Bombyx mori: one gene and its partner. The protein of the gene in region 1 purifies or fractionates together with the protein of each later gene. This does not show direct contact. Links are inferred from orthologs where the notes say so. Each region holds a gene or a part of one and is shown on either strand. Other genes may lie near its edges. The genes, in order: putative methyltransferase WBSCR22-like protein and multifunctional methyltransferase subunit TRM112-like protein.

Region 1 (8,967 bases):
AAATTTTTACTAGTGTGAGCATATATTTTTAAAATGTGAGATATTTTGTCTCATTATAATATTTAATACCATTTGTCTTGTAAATTGTACTTAATCTATGTCATATACTAAATTTGAAAAAACAATCGTGAAAACTATAATTTTGCAATGTATTTTTCATATTATAAGAGCCATCACGTGGTATTTTTTGAACTTTTTTTATTGTATTGAATAGCGTCGCACGCAAGCATGTATATCATTTGCCTGACGTTAAGCGAACGAGGAGGATCTTCTAGTAAATATGACGTTGGAATTTCTGGAAAATGTCCTATATAAAGGTCAAACAAGAAGAATCAAGTACTCAAACGCAAGAAATAAAAAATACCCCGAGAAAAGCAAAATTACGACAAGATGTTAAGGTATTGAAACAAAAACTTAAAAGTCGCGAAATAGTGATTGTAAATATAAAGTCGATTTTAGATTTATTAGAGAAAAATGGCGATTTTTAATTGAATTGAAATTTAAATTGCGAAATTTTAATGATACTGATGGTCCACTTAGATATTGATTAAAATAAATTATGTATTTCGTTGAAAAAAAAAGAATTTACTTAAAATAGAGGAAATGTTATATTATAAGACTACAGAAAATTAACTGAACTTAATAATAATAATATGTATAACCAATATTTTGTAAATAGAGATCAAGTACTATGTGTATCGTGTTATGTGTATTGACTTGTCATTTAAGAGTTATTTAATTGTCTACATATAACAAATAAATGAATTTCAGTTCATTTCATTTTATTACCCATTGTGTTTTATTTCCTAAAATGTAACTAGTAGACCTAATATACACGTGTCATGAAAATAGCACAGAAGTAAAAATACAAGCAATTTTAAATCAATTAAAGATGTGAATGTAGGAAAAGAGCACCCGATATGCGCAGACCATGTCTGTTCAGTGTCTCACTCAGTGTGTCAAATATTAATTTGCACGGCCCACTTAGCCAGTACATTAAAGTAGGAATTGCGTAATTAAGTTCAACATAATATATTATTTAAGTCGCGGTTGAGTATTCGGACGTTAAACATGAGTTTGTGGAAGTTTAAGTAATAGAACTGAGGTAATGATGTTTATAATAAAACTCAGTGCTAGATTTTCGACAACGCAGCAATTTCCAAAAAAAACCGTCGAAAAAAATCACCATGACGACGAAGCAATGTTTAGAATTGAATTTACATAAATAAAAGGTTGCAAGCACGTGTTTTGTATTTACATAGGGTTACACAGAATTACTTAAGGTAAATTCAAAACTGATGCATGTGTATAATTTTGTCCTATAATTAAATTATATATGGTCACCACATTAGACAAGGACACCGCGACCAAAAAGTATTCTCTTTCGAGACCGATTTCTCGGCATTAGACAGCACTCCAGTTGTAGGTACATATTAACTCCATGATAAAAATACTATAGTTTTATTTTTCCAAATGGAAAGGCAAAGGTATTACACCATACAGCGTAATCTTTTATATATATTTTGAAATGAAATGAAGCTGATTAATATGAAACATTGAAATGAAATTAATTGAAATGAGATGATATGATATGATATGGGACATTTTTTATGAAAAATGATAATATGGAGTGAAATGAAATAAAGAATTTGAGACATTGATCAACTGGGATGAAATTAAATGAAATGAGATGAGATGATATAGGATGAAATATATTAGTAAAATGGTGGTCGTTTACTGAGATTTTTTCAGTGCACTTTTTAGAGGATCCCGGGAAGTTACGTCCAACGGCTTGGGTTTCCAAAGGCCAAACCTTTGGTTTGGGCCAAATTTTCCCCCCCTTGCCTTTTCATGAGTTTTGTCTCATGCGAGGTTTGGACGTTGGTTGTTGAGAGACAGGAGGTTTTAGTCGGTTCGACTCCGACATGCCTCGCCCTCCATCCCCAGTGAAGGGCGGAAGTCCGGCGATTTCCTCCTGACAAAAAAAAAAAAAAAAATGTAGGGGTGAGGCGTATATATCGGAACAGTCAAACGGAACAGGTTCGTCTATATAAAAAAACTTGGAACTGTTGTCTATAGACCGAAAGAACTGTTCCACAATATTCCATATGTTGCGTTGTTCTATTCCACAGCATACAGCCAGAAACAAAACAGTTTGGAACAAGTTCTTTTCCCTTTTCACGTACAGAAAGAAAAATATAGCATATACATCCTGTTCCCAAACAGTTTGTAACATGTTCTTTTTTCCTTTCGCTTATTGTAATAGAAAAAGATAGCAATAATATTAAGAAGCATGCACATTTCAAAACAAAACAAACAAAACTAGTTTCATATATCATTAATATTAATAAATCAAGTTGTCAGTCCTAAGCCTGAGAAAGCATGAAGGATTGTTTTCATTTCAGAAAATGTATTAAAACCATTTCATATGTATAACTGATCCTTTATGTGGAACATGTTCTACTTAAAACATCATTAAACCTGTAACAACACAACAGGCTGTTATATTGGAACAGGCTGTTATATTAGAACAGGCTTTATATTGGAACAGGCTGTTATATTGAAACGGGCTGTTATATTGGAACAGTCCATAGAGATAGTATTTGTCATCAGGTTTGAGCCCCGTAAGATCACCTACTAGCCACGGTTACGCTGAAATAGCCCCTAAGGCTATCAGCTTAGGAAGGAAAAAAAAAAAAAAAGTTAGTATTTTTCTTTTTAACTCCATGGAACAGTCTGTTATTTTGTAACAGGCTACTGAATCAGGAACAGGTCTCTAAGGTTACAGACCATCCCTAATTTAAGTACAGTACATATCTAATTTATTAATCTGTAGATTTTAAGTAGGTCGGTACCTAGTACCGTAAAACGGGGTGATTGAGATTGAGCGGTGAATGGGGAGAAAACAAGGAAAATCTTTGGGCACTCAATTATCGAGTAGAGGGAACTCGCTCTCGTCCCCATCATCTGACGGCCGGAATCCGCGCTCTCCCCGTTATTATTTAGTTTTTATATCAATGATATACCCTTCGTATCTACTACTCGTGTAGGAAGAAGTCGCTATTGCATCGGCGACTCAAGATTGCAGTAACCACCACGGGACAGTGGTTCTGGAAGTGGCGCATTCACATCAATCCTACGAAAAGCACAGCGGTGCCCTTCAAGGGTCGCCCTCCGGATACCACTTCGAGCAGCTCACTCGCTATTGAAGGCTGTTGCTTAATCCCTTTAATTGTATCCTTATGTTGTCGGTTTGTACCCTCATTGTGTCGTTTTAAGACATTTACCTCAGCTGTCATATTACCTAACAGCACATAAGGTGAATGTAGCTTTATGTGTATCAGTCGGGTGCTCACTTAACCAAGATGAAAAGTCCTTGTTAGTTAACCATTCAGAACGAAATTTCTGTTTATATATTTTTTTTTATTTTCACCTTCCTGAGTCTTTGGTTTTTTGGAGTAGGTGGGCCATCACCATCACTAATACTGTAAGGAGTAGCGCATGCGGTTGTCCATCGCTTATAGTCAGTCGTACATAGACGGCCCGACACTTGTGACGCCGCAAACACTTGTGACAATATACGGAGTAAAATTGGACCTCATTTGTTTTATTTATAAAGGGCAGCTATCACCTTACATACCTGGAAACCGTACAATTACTGTCTATAGTAGCCATTTTACAACACACAAAATGATAAAATGATTTTTTTTATTGTAATGATAGGAAAATTTGCCAGGTAATCGTTACATTGAAAAGTAACAGAGCAATATTTTATTTAAAAAAAAAAATGAATCTTATTATGTTGACAAAATATATAATAGTTCATTTTATTTTATTTGATTACATAAAAGTATGTATATTCTAATCCATTAGACTATTCTATTTGGTCAGCTTAATAACGGATGAACCATAGATAATACACTTAATATTTGAGATGAACCGTGGAATGAGCGCGCCGGCGCCGGCGCGCTCATTCCACGCATAAAAATTCCCTGATTAGATTTAAAAAATTGTCATATTAATATAAATGTTACCTTGTCTAAAAACCATAATGACAATAAAAATGTAATAATAAATGTGTTATTTTATTAATGAATATCAGTAACCTTGATATTCATGCAGTGCAGAACAATACTGAACCACCCTTCAGTACTGCTAAAATGATGACTGCTACAAATTGCGTGTGCAGAAGTCACTATAGAAGACTGGAGAAAAGTCGTAGAGAAAACAAAGAAAATAATTTTATACGATTTTGAACGAGATGTGAGAATAGACAATATTATTGAAAATTAATTAATAATATCTCGGAGTGCTGACAGCAGTGATGAAGATGACAATACTAATAACAGTTCTGATAGTTCAACTGAATAAATGTAATATTTTTGTTAAATTATGTATTTGTCTTATTTTGCTCTTTAAATTTACGAAAGAAAAAATAATAATGGAACAGGGATTCGCCTGATGATTATAAAAATTCACATTATAATATGTTTCAAGTTCGTATCGATTTATTCACATTAAACGATGTTTTTAAGCAGGCTACCTCACTATGAAGATAAAACTGACAAGTGACAACGTCAAATGCTACATATTATAAGTGGTAAAATGACTCAATACTAAATATATTTAAGTCTGTGGAGCAAGCCGTAGATAAGTAGTTTTTACACTTATTATTTTAAAAAGCTACATACTTCCTAGTTCATAAAATCATTTTATTAACGAGCACATACATATGTAGATACTTACTAAACACTAGGTTCATTTAAATTTGATTGATTTGAAAGTGATCCTTATATTGATGTAAGATGTCAAAAAGACCAGAACACCAGGCACCGCCTGAAGTTGTGAGTATAAGCTAATGTAAATATATTGTTTCAAATTTGAACAAAAAGGCACTATTGTTATTCGAATTATTTTTGTTCTAGTTTTATAATGATGAAGAGGCTAGAAAGTATACACAAAAGTACGTAAGTAAAAGTAACAAGGTATTGCGAATACTAACCTTTTTGCTAATGGTGGCACAAATGGAATTGTCTCTGAATTGTTGTAACCCAAAATATAATGTAAGTGGGCGATAGTGGTGAATGAGCACAACCACAAAAATCCACAACCTTCCCATGTCTAACGTCCTACAGTTTCATTAGTGTGGGAATTCGGGGGGCTTAATACTACATTTTAAAATAGTAAAGTGCTGTATAAAGTTTACAATAGAAACCATTATTGCAGGCAATCAACCCATCTAATGTTAATTAAATGGCCCCTGTTACTTATTTACTACAGTAATGTTTTATATTTAAACTGCAACTAAAGATATTTTCAAACTTCAAGTAAAAACAAGTACCTGTTTCTCGACGAACCCGTCGCTTACGACGAAGGGCTCGGCGACAAAATTAACCCACAGACATAGCCCACTGAGTTTCTTGCCAGATCTTCTCAGTGGGTTGCGTTTGTGATCCGGTGGTAGATTCTGCGAAGCACTGCTCTTGCTAACCCTAGCACTTACACGAACACTAACCCTAGTGTTAACGTCGTAGTTTGGGACTGGTGAGCTCACCTACTAATTCAGTGAATCTGGAATAACTCCTCAAGGTTACTAGAATAGGTAGGAAGCGATAAATGTAGAAATGCTAAGAATGATTGTCTTGTACTACAATGTTAATGATACTAGTTGGACAATATTTGCCAAATTCATTTGAGCATGGGGTTTATTGTACAATCCAGGAAAAACCTAACTATTTGTGAGATCTGGATTATGAACAATCTGAATGCTTCCCTCCTAATTCCAAAAATGTCTTTCCTTTTTTTATTAACTCTTTTTGAGAAAAAATTGTGTTTGATTATTTTAGCTCCAGGATCATAGAAATCCAAGGACAAATGACTGAGAGATGCTTAGAATTACTTCTATTACCGGAAGATTCATCTTGCTTGTTGTTGGATATTGGATGTGGTTCAGGATTATCTGGTACAGTGCTAGAAGAAAATGGACATATGTGGATTGGGATGGACATATCATCTTCAATGCTTGGTAAAAAATATTTTTGTCATCTGGCCACAGAAAGTAGCCTAGTCGATACTAGACTTAATTGGACACATAATGAGACATAATAAGACACATGACTTGTACCTTAGGTGTTGTATTTTTTCTCAGTTTTCACTACTTATAAAGATTGTTAATAACTGAAAGAGAACAAATTATAACCTGACAAAATTAAAACCCAAAAGGCTATTGGGTTGAAGTGACATTTTTGTAATTTTATAGAAGAACCATTTTAAATTTAAGTTTTGGAAAATTAATCATAATAAAACAGCTTCTTCAGCTATTTGAAAGTAGTAAACATAATTGATGTTCAACTAAAAATATTGAAATATAGATACTAATACCAAATAAATAGCATTTGTAATGTCACATAAACAGAATAGCCTTTCACCTTTTGATATATATCCTTGTTTCCTAAAGCCCAAAAAAGTATTTTGGTTCTTAAATTACACTATATATAATATGTCTATGTTGTAGATGTTGCTGTAGAGAGAGACACTGAAGGTGGTTTAGTTCTGGCTGATATGGGTGAAGGTGTCCCGTTTAGAGCAGGTTGCTTTGATGGAGCAGTATCCGTATCAGCTATACAATGGTTATTTAATGCTGATAAGAAAACTCATAATCCAGTGAAAAGACTAAACAAATTCTTCACCACTTTATATTCAAGTTTGGTAAGTTAACTATGAAAACGGTATTATTTATTATTCAATACAAAAACTCAATTATTATTTTTTTCAGTCAAGGTCTGCTCGAGCTGTCTTCCAATTTTACCCTGAGAATGAGAAGCAATTAGAACTCCTAACGACACAGGCAATGAAAGCTGGCTTTTATGGAGGAGTTGTAATTGACTATCCAAATTCTGCCAAAGCAAAGAAGTTCTTTTTAGTTTTAATGACTGGTGGCGTTGGTCCTTTACCTCAGGCTTTAGGTAATGTTGTATATATCATAAAATTATATCACATTAAAATAATACTATAGTGTGATGCTAATAAAAATGATGAAACCCACTTTTTTATATAATAAAATCAAAATTTGTATTACAGGTACTGAAGAACCAGACAGTCTTCAAGTTAAATATGCTAAAAGAGAAGCTACAAAAGGGATAAGAGGAAAACCTATAAAGAACTCAAAAGACTGGATTTTGGAGAAGAAAGAACGAAGAAGGAAACAGGGCAAAATTACAAAACCTGACACTAAATACACAGGAAGAAAAAGAAGTGGTCGATTCTAAAATAAAAACTGTTTATTATTTTGTATATCTAAGTAAATAAATTTGTTGCAACTTAACTGATTTTTACTTCATATTTCCAAACAGTGTCTACACCATGTCCAATAGTTTCTACAGGCACCATTGTTGGTAATGGGAATCGACACGCGACCACTACTGTGCGCTCTTGCGTTTCATCTAAAATTTTATTTTCTATATCGTGCATCATTTGCTCCACACCAAATATTACAACATTATTGTAAGGTTTGAGGTTGAATTTCCATAAATCACAATGATAAAACCTGGTATCATAATATTTTTGATTCAATAAGGCTGATATTCGTGAGTAATAAACAAGGAATGGATTTAGTTCTACTCCATCTGCTTTAAAACCCATTTTGGCTGCTGTTATTACTATTCTTCCATCACCAGATCCAATATCTATTAGTCTGCCTCTTCTGCCCTTTAATGCCTTCGTTACTCCTAGTAACTGTTCTGTTGTTGCAGGTACATAAGGCAAACAAATTTTCCTTGCTGCTGGAGACACAAAAGGTATACAAACGATGCTGACACCAATGGCTAAACCGCCCGTTGTGTATATTAATATTTTACCAACGAGTGACAGCTTTGACGGAACATTATAAATTTTATCCTCTATACATTCCGATTCCATTATGCAATGTGATCATAGATAATACACTTAAAATTTAAGAAATGTGAATAACCTATTTCATAATATTGTCCCGCAAACCTCCAAGAATTCCAGTACCTACTGACGACTTATACATCATAATTAACAATCCTTTTCATTTTTAAAACAACTTTTTTTTTTGCTTTATTTTTACTGTTGGATTTAAGCTCTTAAACTCTTCATTTGAGCCCTACCCTTTTATGTATTCTTAATAGTTATGTACTAGTTATGTTATGTACTACTACTATTAAAATTTTTAATATAATAATGTGACGTATGACATTAGGTGTTATCAACACTTGTGATTGTGACACTGTCAGTACTGTCACACTATGGGTGCACTTTTTTTTTTTTTTTTTTTTATATTTTGACTCGCACGGTTTGTGCATTTGCCACTACTAGTGTGGAAAAGGTAGGGAAACCAGTTTTATTTAGGAATCAATTGGAAGGTTCGAAATTTGGAAAGGATATGTATGTAATAGGATAATAATATATAATAATGCCTAAGAGTTTATAATATATAGTGATTGGGTATAAATAAAAAGAATATTATATTTTAAAACTGTTTACATTTTAATATTATTACTAAATAAAAAATTTGATATCAAGTTATACAAATCAGAATTTATAGTACTTAATAATGTAGGGATTGATGTGGGAAGAGGAACCCGGAGGTTTATCAGGGAATTTATGAATGAGGAACAGTCACGTAGGAGGCATCCAAAGAAAATGTGATTCAAGTCCTCCTCACCAACGCCACAAGCACACAAACTGTTGTTAATGACACCGAGTTTAGCAAGGTGAGAAGCTGTACAAACATGTCCCAATCGCATTCTTATAATACAGGAGGTTGCAAGCTTACATAGACTAATTTTACAGAACCACATTTTTAGAGGAATTCGTGGCTGTATATTTTTATAATAACGGCCTTTATGGCAGCTAGAGCTATTCCAAATACTTTCCCAAGACCTCAGTAAATGGTCTTTAGGAGTGGAAAGAAGGTCAGACACAACATTTTTGTAAGGTGACATA
Region 2 (7,639 bases), on another chromosome or scaffold:
ACTTTTCTAGCTGCATCAACATATATTTACTTGGTGGTGGATGACTCCTTAAAAATGCCAGTTTTGGGTGGTCACTATAAATACGTGTAGCTACAGACATGTTAGCGAGCAACATGAATTCCTCAATGAGTTGATGGCTTTCTTTACTCTCATATATGCAGTATGACTCTGGTAAACCACTAGTAGGATTTAATCTAAAACTAGCCTTAGGTTGATCAATTCTCAATGCACCATTCTCAAATCTATTTGCACGAAGAATATTTGACAATTTGCCTAAAATTTTTATTGATTTGTGCACATCTTTGTAATCAAAACCATTGTACATTTCTGGAAATTTTATTTGAGCATCCTCTTTGTCATCAAGAACATCTTGAGCATGTTCATATGCCAACTGACAGCATGAATTTATAACAGTCCTAGCAAACCTGTAACTAATAACTTTAGCATCCTTGGTCATTTCCCAAAAAACAGAGAAAGCTAGTTTATCTACACCAGGGAATAGAGAACAAAGCATACACAAATCATCTGGAAGCATGTGGTAAGCAGTTTCTACCAAATATATTGTTGTAGCTTTTTCTGCAACTTTCACATCAAGCGGAGTGTTTTCATTTAAAAAATATGTAACATCAGAAATATGGACTCCGATCTCATAATTACCATTTTCTAGTTCCTTGCAAGAGACTGCATCATCAATATCACGGCAATTAAATGGATCAATACTAAAGATACATAACATCCGACAGTCTTCTCTCTTTGCTATTTCTTCATCGGGAATTGTAAAGTCAAGTTGAGGATACAAATCCTTGTATTCAGAGCCAAAAGCAGTAACATCTAAATCATTTTCTGCTAATATTGCTTTTGTTTCAGTGACCATGTCTCCTGATTTACCAATATTACCCATAATTTTTCCTACAGCAAACCTTGTATCAGACCAATCTATTATTTTTGCAACAAACAATGTGTTTTCATATTTCTTGGCATCTTCATAAAAATTATCTGGCCATGAAGTAAATGGTATATTTATTCTTGGTACTCTGTGATCTCGAGGCACGAACATAGCTTTTTGTCTATTTTTGTCATGCATTAGTTTGAGTGAACCAATACAAGTTCTAGTATGAACTTTTTCCTTGATAAAAACTACTTTCCCTCTTTTTTGTTCAGGATTAGTAACGTTTTCTTCAGGTTCATTTTCAACTAATTGTACTATTACTACATCTCCTTCCATTGCACGATTTCTATTCTTAATACCGTCTATTAATATATCTTGTTGACTCCGGTCTTGACTTGAAACATATGAATGTTGATATTGTTTTGGATTTATCCTCAGAACACCTTCAATAAGCATATTGTTCTTTAAACCTTTCTCAACATCTTCTCCAGAAAGGTATGCATCAAATTTCTTGTCACCATTTACAAGAGTTTTAGTTAAGCAATTGTTTTCTGAATTATGCCTCAGTCTGAGCTGTCCAATTTGTATTGTACCAGTTTGTCTTGAAAATGATGGATTCAATAAGGGGTGTTGCAATGCATTCTCTATGAACCTTGGAGTGCTAGGTTCAGAATGAATAAATGTAGAATTTGGAATACAAACAGGTTCTGATCTCTGTCCTGATAATATTAATGGAGTGATAGGTACACTAGCAACATGCTCTGGGCTTTGTAAAATATCTCTCATGTGTTGGATATTCTGCATATATTGATATTGTGGATGGTGACACAGATTTTCTAAATACCTAGAGCTGGTACTTGCATACAATGGTGTAATCTGTTGGGTAAAATATTCATGCACAGAGAATGTACTATTTCTAGGAGACCCAAAATAGTTAAATAAATACTGTGAATTTTGTACTCTGTTTGTGTTGTTAAAGTTATTCACTGGTACCGTAGGTATTTCCAACTTTTTTAGTCGTTCCTTTTTCTTGGCGTTTTTTCCTTTCGACGGGGTAGTTGGGGTTACCTGTTCTGTCTCCCCGTTATCACTGTCGCTTTCAATTTGCAAATTCTGGCACTTATTGGAAACATCGTTAATTGATGAATTGTTGAATACCATGGTAGGTACTGTAACTTCTGATCTTTGTTTTTTTTTTGATTTTTTGGGTGTTCGTTTAGGTGAATCGACTTTGTTTTCATTTATTGCTTTGTCACTTGATGTTTTTTGTGGTACTGACGACGTGGAGACCACCGATGTTGTTGGTTCACTGCATGCTGCATCCATTCTTAATGAGTTATGGCTTGACATGGCGCAAAAAAATAAAAACTGTAAAATACTTATAAGCAGGTATGGAGTATTACAAGCCTGCTGCTTTTGTCTATAAATGTGAATGATTACATTTCTCCTCAATATTTACAATAATTTTACACAGAATTATACTCAATTTAATATTTTTAAATATTTATGTACGGCCAACGGCTACAAGACCTTATATCCATTCTAATTTAAAAAATGTAAATATATTTTTTTTCAACAATTTAATATAAATGCTTATCCCTTCCGAATGCAAAGAAAGGTCAAGCTAGTAAATTGACCGTCAGACAGAGCCCACTGAGTTTCTCGCCAGTTCTTTTCAGAGAATCTCGATTCTGGTCCAGTGGTAGATTCAGAGAAGCACCGCTCTAACTAAAGCTAGTGCTAGTAAGTTCTCCATGCTGAGCCTACACGTTCGGTGAACCTGGCTTATCGCCTCGAGGCGCAAAAATTTTGTACCAGTTTTCGAAAAGTAGTAACAATAATAGACTAATAGATTACATTGAAGAGACTCGGGCAAATTACTATTAATCCATTATTTATTTTATTACTTTCTTATTATACTCTGCGCGAGTATCACCTCGAGCTACGACTGAAAAGGTGAACAAGTTACAACTTTTTCGCGGGAACGCGAGGAGTGAAGTTGTGTGATTTGTTTTATTTTGTCTATTTAGTGTTTCTTCAGATTGAAATGCATAATAACGGTGGTTTATTAACTGTTTAGTATCTTTGAAAGTGCACAAATGTGGGAAAATAAAATAAAGCCGCTGGACGTAACTTATCGGGATCATCCAAAACGTCCATTGAAAAAATCTCAGTAAACGACCAACATTTTACTGAGATTATATTTCATCTCATCTCATTTCATTTGATTTCATCCCAGTTGATTAATGTCTCAAATTCTTCATTTCACTCCATATCATCATTTTTCATAAAAATACCCATATCATAATTATCATCTCATCTCATTTCAATTCATTTCATGCCATGCCATTAAATTAATCAGCTTCATTTCATTTCATAATATATTTCATAAAAAAAAAAAAATCTATAACAGACTAGGCTGTATGGTGTGATACCTTTGCCTTTCCATTTGGAAAAATAAAACTACCACTACTTACTGCTGTCAGGTCACTACTCACTACACAACTGAACAAAAACTAAACATAACCTCAAATATCTAATTATGCACGTAAAGTACATAATAACAAATATGTTTTAAGAAAATTCTACAAAAAAGTGCCAATAATCTTAATCGCTTGGTTCTACTCGTGAAAAGCTATTATTGTCAAGACTTCAATTCCTACTGAAGTTGCATAATACAAATATAATAATGAAACTAATTACCCACAATATGCTCACTTCGAAATGCTTGAAAGGTGTTGTGACTGGCTATCCTCTTGCAATTAACGCGACAGACATTAAAGTTAAAGAAGTCGATTTTAATCCTGAATTTATTAGTCGTGTAATACCAAAGCTGGATTGGGAAGTATTATGGGTGGCCGCTGATAGCATCGGCCACAGTGATGGTCTGCCAAGATCTTTAGAAAATAAGTATGATGAAAACGAAGAGTTTTTGAAGAAAGCTCATAAAGTCTTGTTAGAGGTGGAAGTTGAAGAGGGACACTTGACTTGTCCAGAATCTGGAAGACAATTTCCGATTTCTAAAGGAATTCCTAATATGCTATTAAATGAAGCTGAAGTGCAGTAGTTCACAATTTAGAGCCTGTACTAAAAATATTAGTAACAAATTTTTTATTTAAGCATTAATTTTATTGCAGTAACATTACATAGGATTGTTTTATTTTTTATGTAAAGAAGTGCTATGGTGCATGTAAATTTGTTTCATATTAAATATTTTAAGAAATGTACCATTACTTTATAATTTCTACAATATAATTTACTGTGAAAGATTTTTATGTAATCCTTGTATACTAAATTTTAAGTTGCTTAATAGGTAAAATCAGTATGAGGCTGCTTCAGGATTCTTGATAAATATTTGGGGAAAACTTTCTTACGCATATGTTGTATACTAAAAGTATCCTTTCAATAAAGAAAATATTGTTTTTCAATTTATATAATAACTTAACTGAATTATTGAAATGAGGTTATGTACTGTAAACGTGATAACATGTACAAAGCACTGAGGGCACCTTACTTAGAAAATACCAGTGTTCACAGTAGAAAAATGGTGACAATTTCTGACATTATATATTTCCCTATGATACGGTGATTGTATACTGTCAGTCAACGGAACGAATTTCGCCCCAGTAAGAGGACTGAACAGTCCTCGCAGTGTATATTGGAATATAGCCTTTACTGCACACTTTACTCTATTTAAAGCTGCTATATTAATTCAATTACCACTACCTGTACTAATACTATTTTAGTGAGCTTCAAACAATAACCTGCTGTATACAGGCGGACACTTTTTCAACTTGTACCTTAAACAAGATGGTACTTCTTAGTTGTATCCTCAAGGACGTTAATACTGATAACTTCATACTAGTTTAAAAGCTAGGACACTATTGTAAGTAATTGAGACTTCGACCTGTAATAGTATAATTACATCTTTTATGGCTGTAATGGCTTTTAAATTAAATTATAAATGATAAGAATTATAGATTTGAAGCCAATCACATGACTGCTATAATCTACAAAATATAACTAAAATTAGTACATGAAAAGAAAGCTGTTACTCTAAACTCTGAGTATAATTACAGTGCGTTTGCATTATATACACTACCACTCAAAAGTTTGGAAATACTAGGGTAATTTAAATATAAACGTCATTAAAACACACAAGCCATTATTTATTACAATTAAATCTGAATGAAATCAAGCAGTAAAATATATATAGTGAAAATAAATAATAAAATAAAATACTTTTCATTAAATATTAGGAGCTAAAGTATGAAATTGCCCCTATTATTTGCCTCGTTCTTTGGATTAATTTAACAAAGTATTCGGAGTCAGAGTAACTTCTATTCACTTTGTAAATATTTCCACAATGTACTGAGAATGATTTTTTATTTTTGATACAAAATTTCTTTATTTCGTTTTAGCTCTAAGAACATCAGAGATAATTTTTTTGAATGTTTGGGGTCATTGTCTTATCGGGGGCTAAGCTTTCCTTTATGGTCCGTCGATTTGGAAGTTCACAATTTTTTTGTAGATAGCAATCATAAATAGAAAGCTTTTTGCAAATTTTCAAGTTGCGGAAACTCACGGTTTACGAAATATAATTTTTTAAAGTTTCCCTAAGTACAAATTTGAAAAATCGTCAAGGTACCACTGAAGTAGGAAACCTTTATGTGTATAATCTATGCCTAGGTTTAAGCAAGGTACACGTCAAAGTTGACGTTTCGAGTTTCATTCACGGTAAACATGTATTTTATTACAGAAATATATTTTAATTTAATCACATTTTGTTCTAATTAATGTGCACAGTAATTGTTGCTGTATTAAGCAACTATATTGACTTTTGTACACAAAATGTAACGAAATAATGTTTACACTATGAAACGGAACGTGAGCTAACGCATTTTGTTATAGCGTCTTTATAACTGTCTGTATTAAAATATATTTTTAAATAAGATTAAATATAACAATAATAAAATTGCTCGTGTTTTAGTAATAAAATTTTCGATATCCGAAAAATATCCAAAACCGAATCAGAGCATCCCACTTTCCACCTGGTCTTGTCTGCCCTACCCCTAGTGTATATAAAAAACCGGAGGCGCGGAGGGAGAGCACTCCTCGGCCGCTGTGACGGAACATGGGAACAGCGCGAGGGGGAGCGGCTGAGGCTGGTCCATCAAGCCGAAGCTGCGAGCGGAGTGTGAGTGACCGTGCTTCGGCACGCAAGGGCGGAAGGGCTGCTCTTCCCGCAGCGTCGGAGATAAGGCGGTTTCTTAGCTCCCTTCGAGTTTAAGTAAATAATGCTATTTTAATCTAAACAATTAACAATGGATATCTTTATCACCATGGGGATGTGGGCTGGTGATGGTGCAGGGGATAAGCCCTTATACCCCTCCCTCCTCGACTCAAAATTGATAGACCATAATTGGAATTCTAACCCTATGTTGACTAAATAGTGGTAATCTAAACTCAAAACATTAACCGTGAAAATCTTCATAACCATGGGGTTCCGCGGGGTGGGGATGATGCAGGGGGTAAACCCTTATCCCCTCCCTACCCCCACCCCCACCCAAAAATCGACGGATCATAATGGAGCCCAGGCAAACGTCGATTTGGGTTCGATAATATTTTAACGAACGATCTTCGTGTTTTGGCGTAGATTTGGTACATCCAGCTTACTTATTTCTGGTCTTGTTCTAAATTTGGATCTTGATCTGGTCTGTTCAAAAGAAATCTGTTTCCTTCCTTTTTGCCATTTGATGTGCCGGTAAACTGTTGTAATTATCACACGAAATCACCAAATACACTGAACAGATTATTGGGTACATTATCATAGATTATGCACTTAATATTTGAGATACTATTTACTACGATGAGGCCCGCGACGCATGCTCTAATCAGAAAATAGTTTTAGTAAAAAATAGCTTGGTTAATATTATTCTTTGTCAAAACATATAATCAGTATTAAAATTAGGTATTATTTATCTTTTTTATTCTTCCATTCTTTCCATTTATTCCCAAGGCATCATTTAAAAGTGAAGCTATATTTTACTATTGTTGGGGAATAACTGGAAAATATTTTTGAAAATAAAATTTTCTGCGGCCCTCCAGCTTTTGTAGTAAACTTAATTCGCCTACAAAGGTATGCAGTTTAAACAGTCCTAGTCTAGAAAGTGTCTTAAACTCTCTTTTGTCCCGAAAAACCTTTTTTTCCTACGTAAGTTGATGGTCTTGAGAGATCGGCCGAGTAAGTAGGTAAATAATTATTTAGTTGTTTTGAAACAATTTTTTAACCAATCCAGTGGCTTCAGAGATTCTTTCAAAGATACTAAAAACTTGCCTCCTTATACATTACTTCAGACATCTGGTACTCATGAAGCATCTCCAAAATAATTTTTATAATTAACAAATGATTTATTAAAACAATAAATTACAATCCATATTGTTTCTAATTTGTTGATTTATTAAGGTAGGTAACAGATTAAGGAATAAATTAAGATTTAATACCGAGTTTACAATTCATCTATATAGGGAACAAATGCTAAGTTTCCAACAGCGCCAATTGAAATCTTGTTCTTTGCCGCATTCGAGACAGCCTGGAAAATAAAAGTATAGTGTATAACATATGTGTGTACCCACCCAAGTTTAGTTCTGTATGTAGATAAAATGGCTAAGGTGAAACAATTTCAATTTCTCCTCAGTCAATGGATTCTCTAAATTAATTATTTAGTAGCTATTGACGAGCTTTAGCTT

What was found.
Region 2: the proteins of putative methyltransferase WBSCR22-like protein (region 1) and multifunctional methyltransferase subunit TRM112-like protein purify together in Homo sapiens (affinity purification with mass spectrometry; 5 studies listed by BioGRID and IntAct, counting the BioPlex papers as one, with this or other methods). This does not show direct contact. The link is inferred for Bombyx mori from reciprocal best matches to the Homo sapiens genes BUD23 and TRMT112.

Annotation. Positions count from the first base shown.
Region 1 is NC_085122.1:5,819,712-5,828,678, reverse strand, and holds putative methyltransferase WBSCR22-like protein, read left to right. Parts: upstream 1-4,586; 5' UTR 4,587-4,805; coding exon of another isoform or gene 4,806-4,844; intron 4,845-4,925; coding exon of another isoform or gene 4,926-4,932; coding exon 4,933-4,967; intron 4,968-5,846; coding exon 5,847-6,025; intron 6,026-6,514; coding exon 6,515-6,708; intron 6,709-6,775; coding exon 6,776-6,965; intron 6,966-7,080; coding exon 7,081-7,268; 3' UTR 7,269-7,320; downstream 7,321-8,967. Other genes in the region: ATP synthase subunit C lysine N-methyltransferase, read right to left, coding at 7,321-7,917.
Region 2 is NC_085117.1:12,726,633-12,734,271, reverse strand, and holds multifunctional methyltransferase subunit TRM112-like protein, read left to right. Parts: upstream 1-3,392; 5' UTR 3,393-3,578; coding exon 3,579-3,956; 3' UTR 3,957-4,321; downstream 4,322-7,639. Other genes in the region: DIS3-like exonuclease 2, read right to left, coding at 1-2,239; Uqcrc2 (ubiquinol-cytochrome c reductase core protein II), read right to left, coding at 7,399-7,482. UniProt on the Homo sapiens protein: Acts as an activator of both rRNA/tRNA and protein methyltransferases. Together with methyltransferase BUD23, methylates the N(7) position of a guanine in 18S rRNA.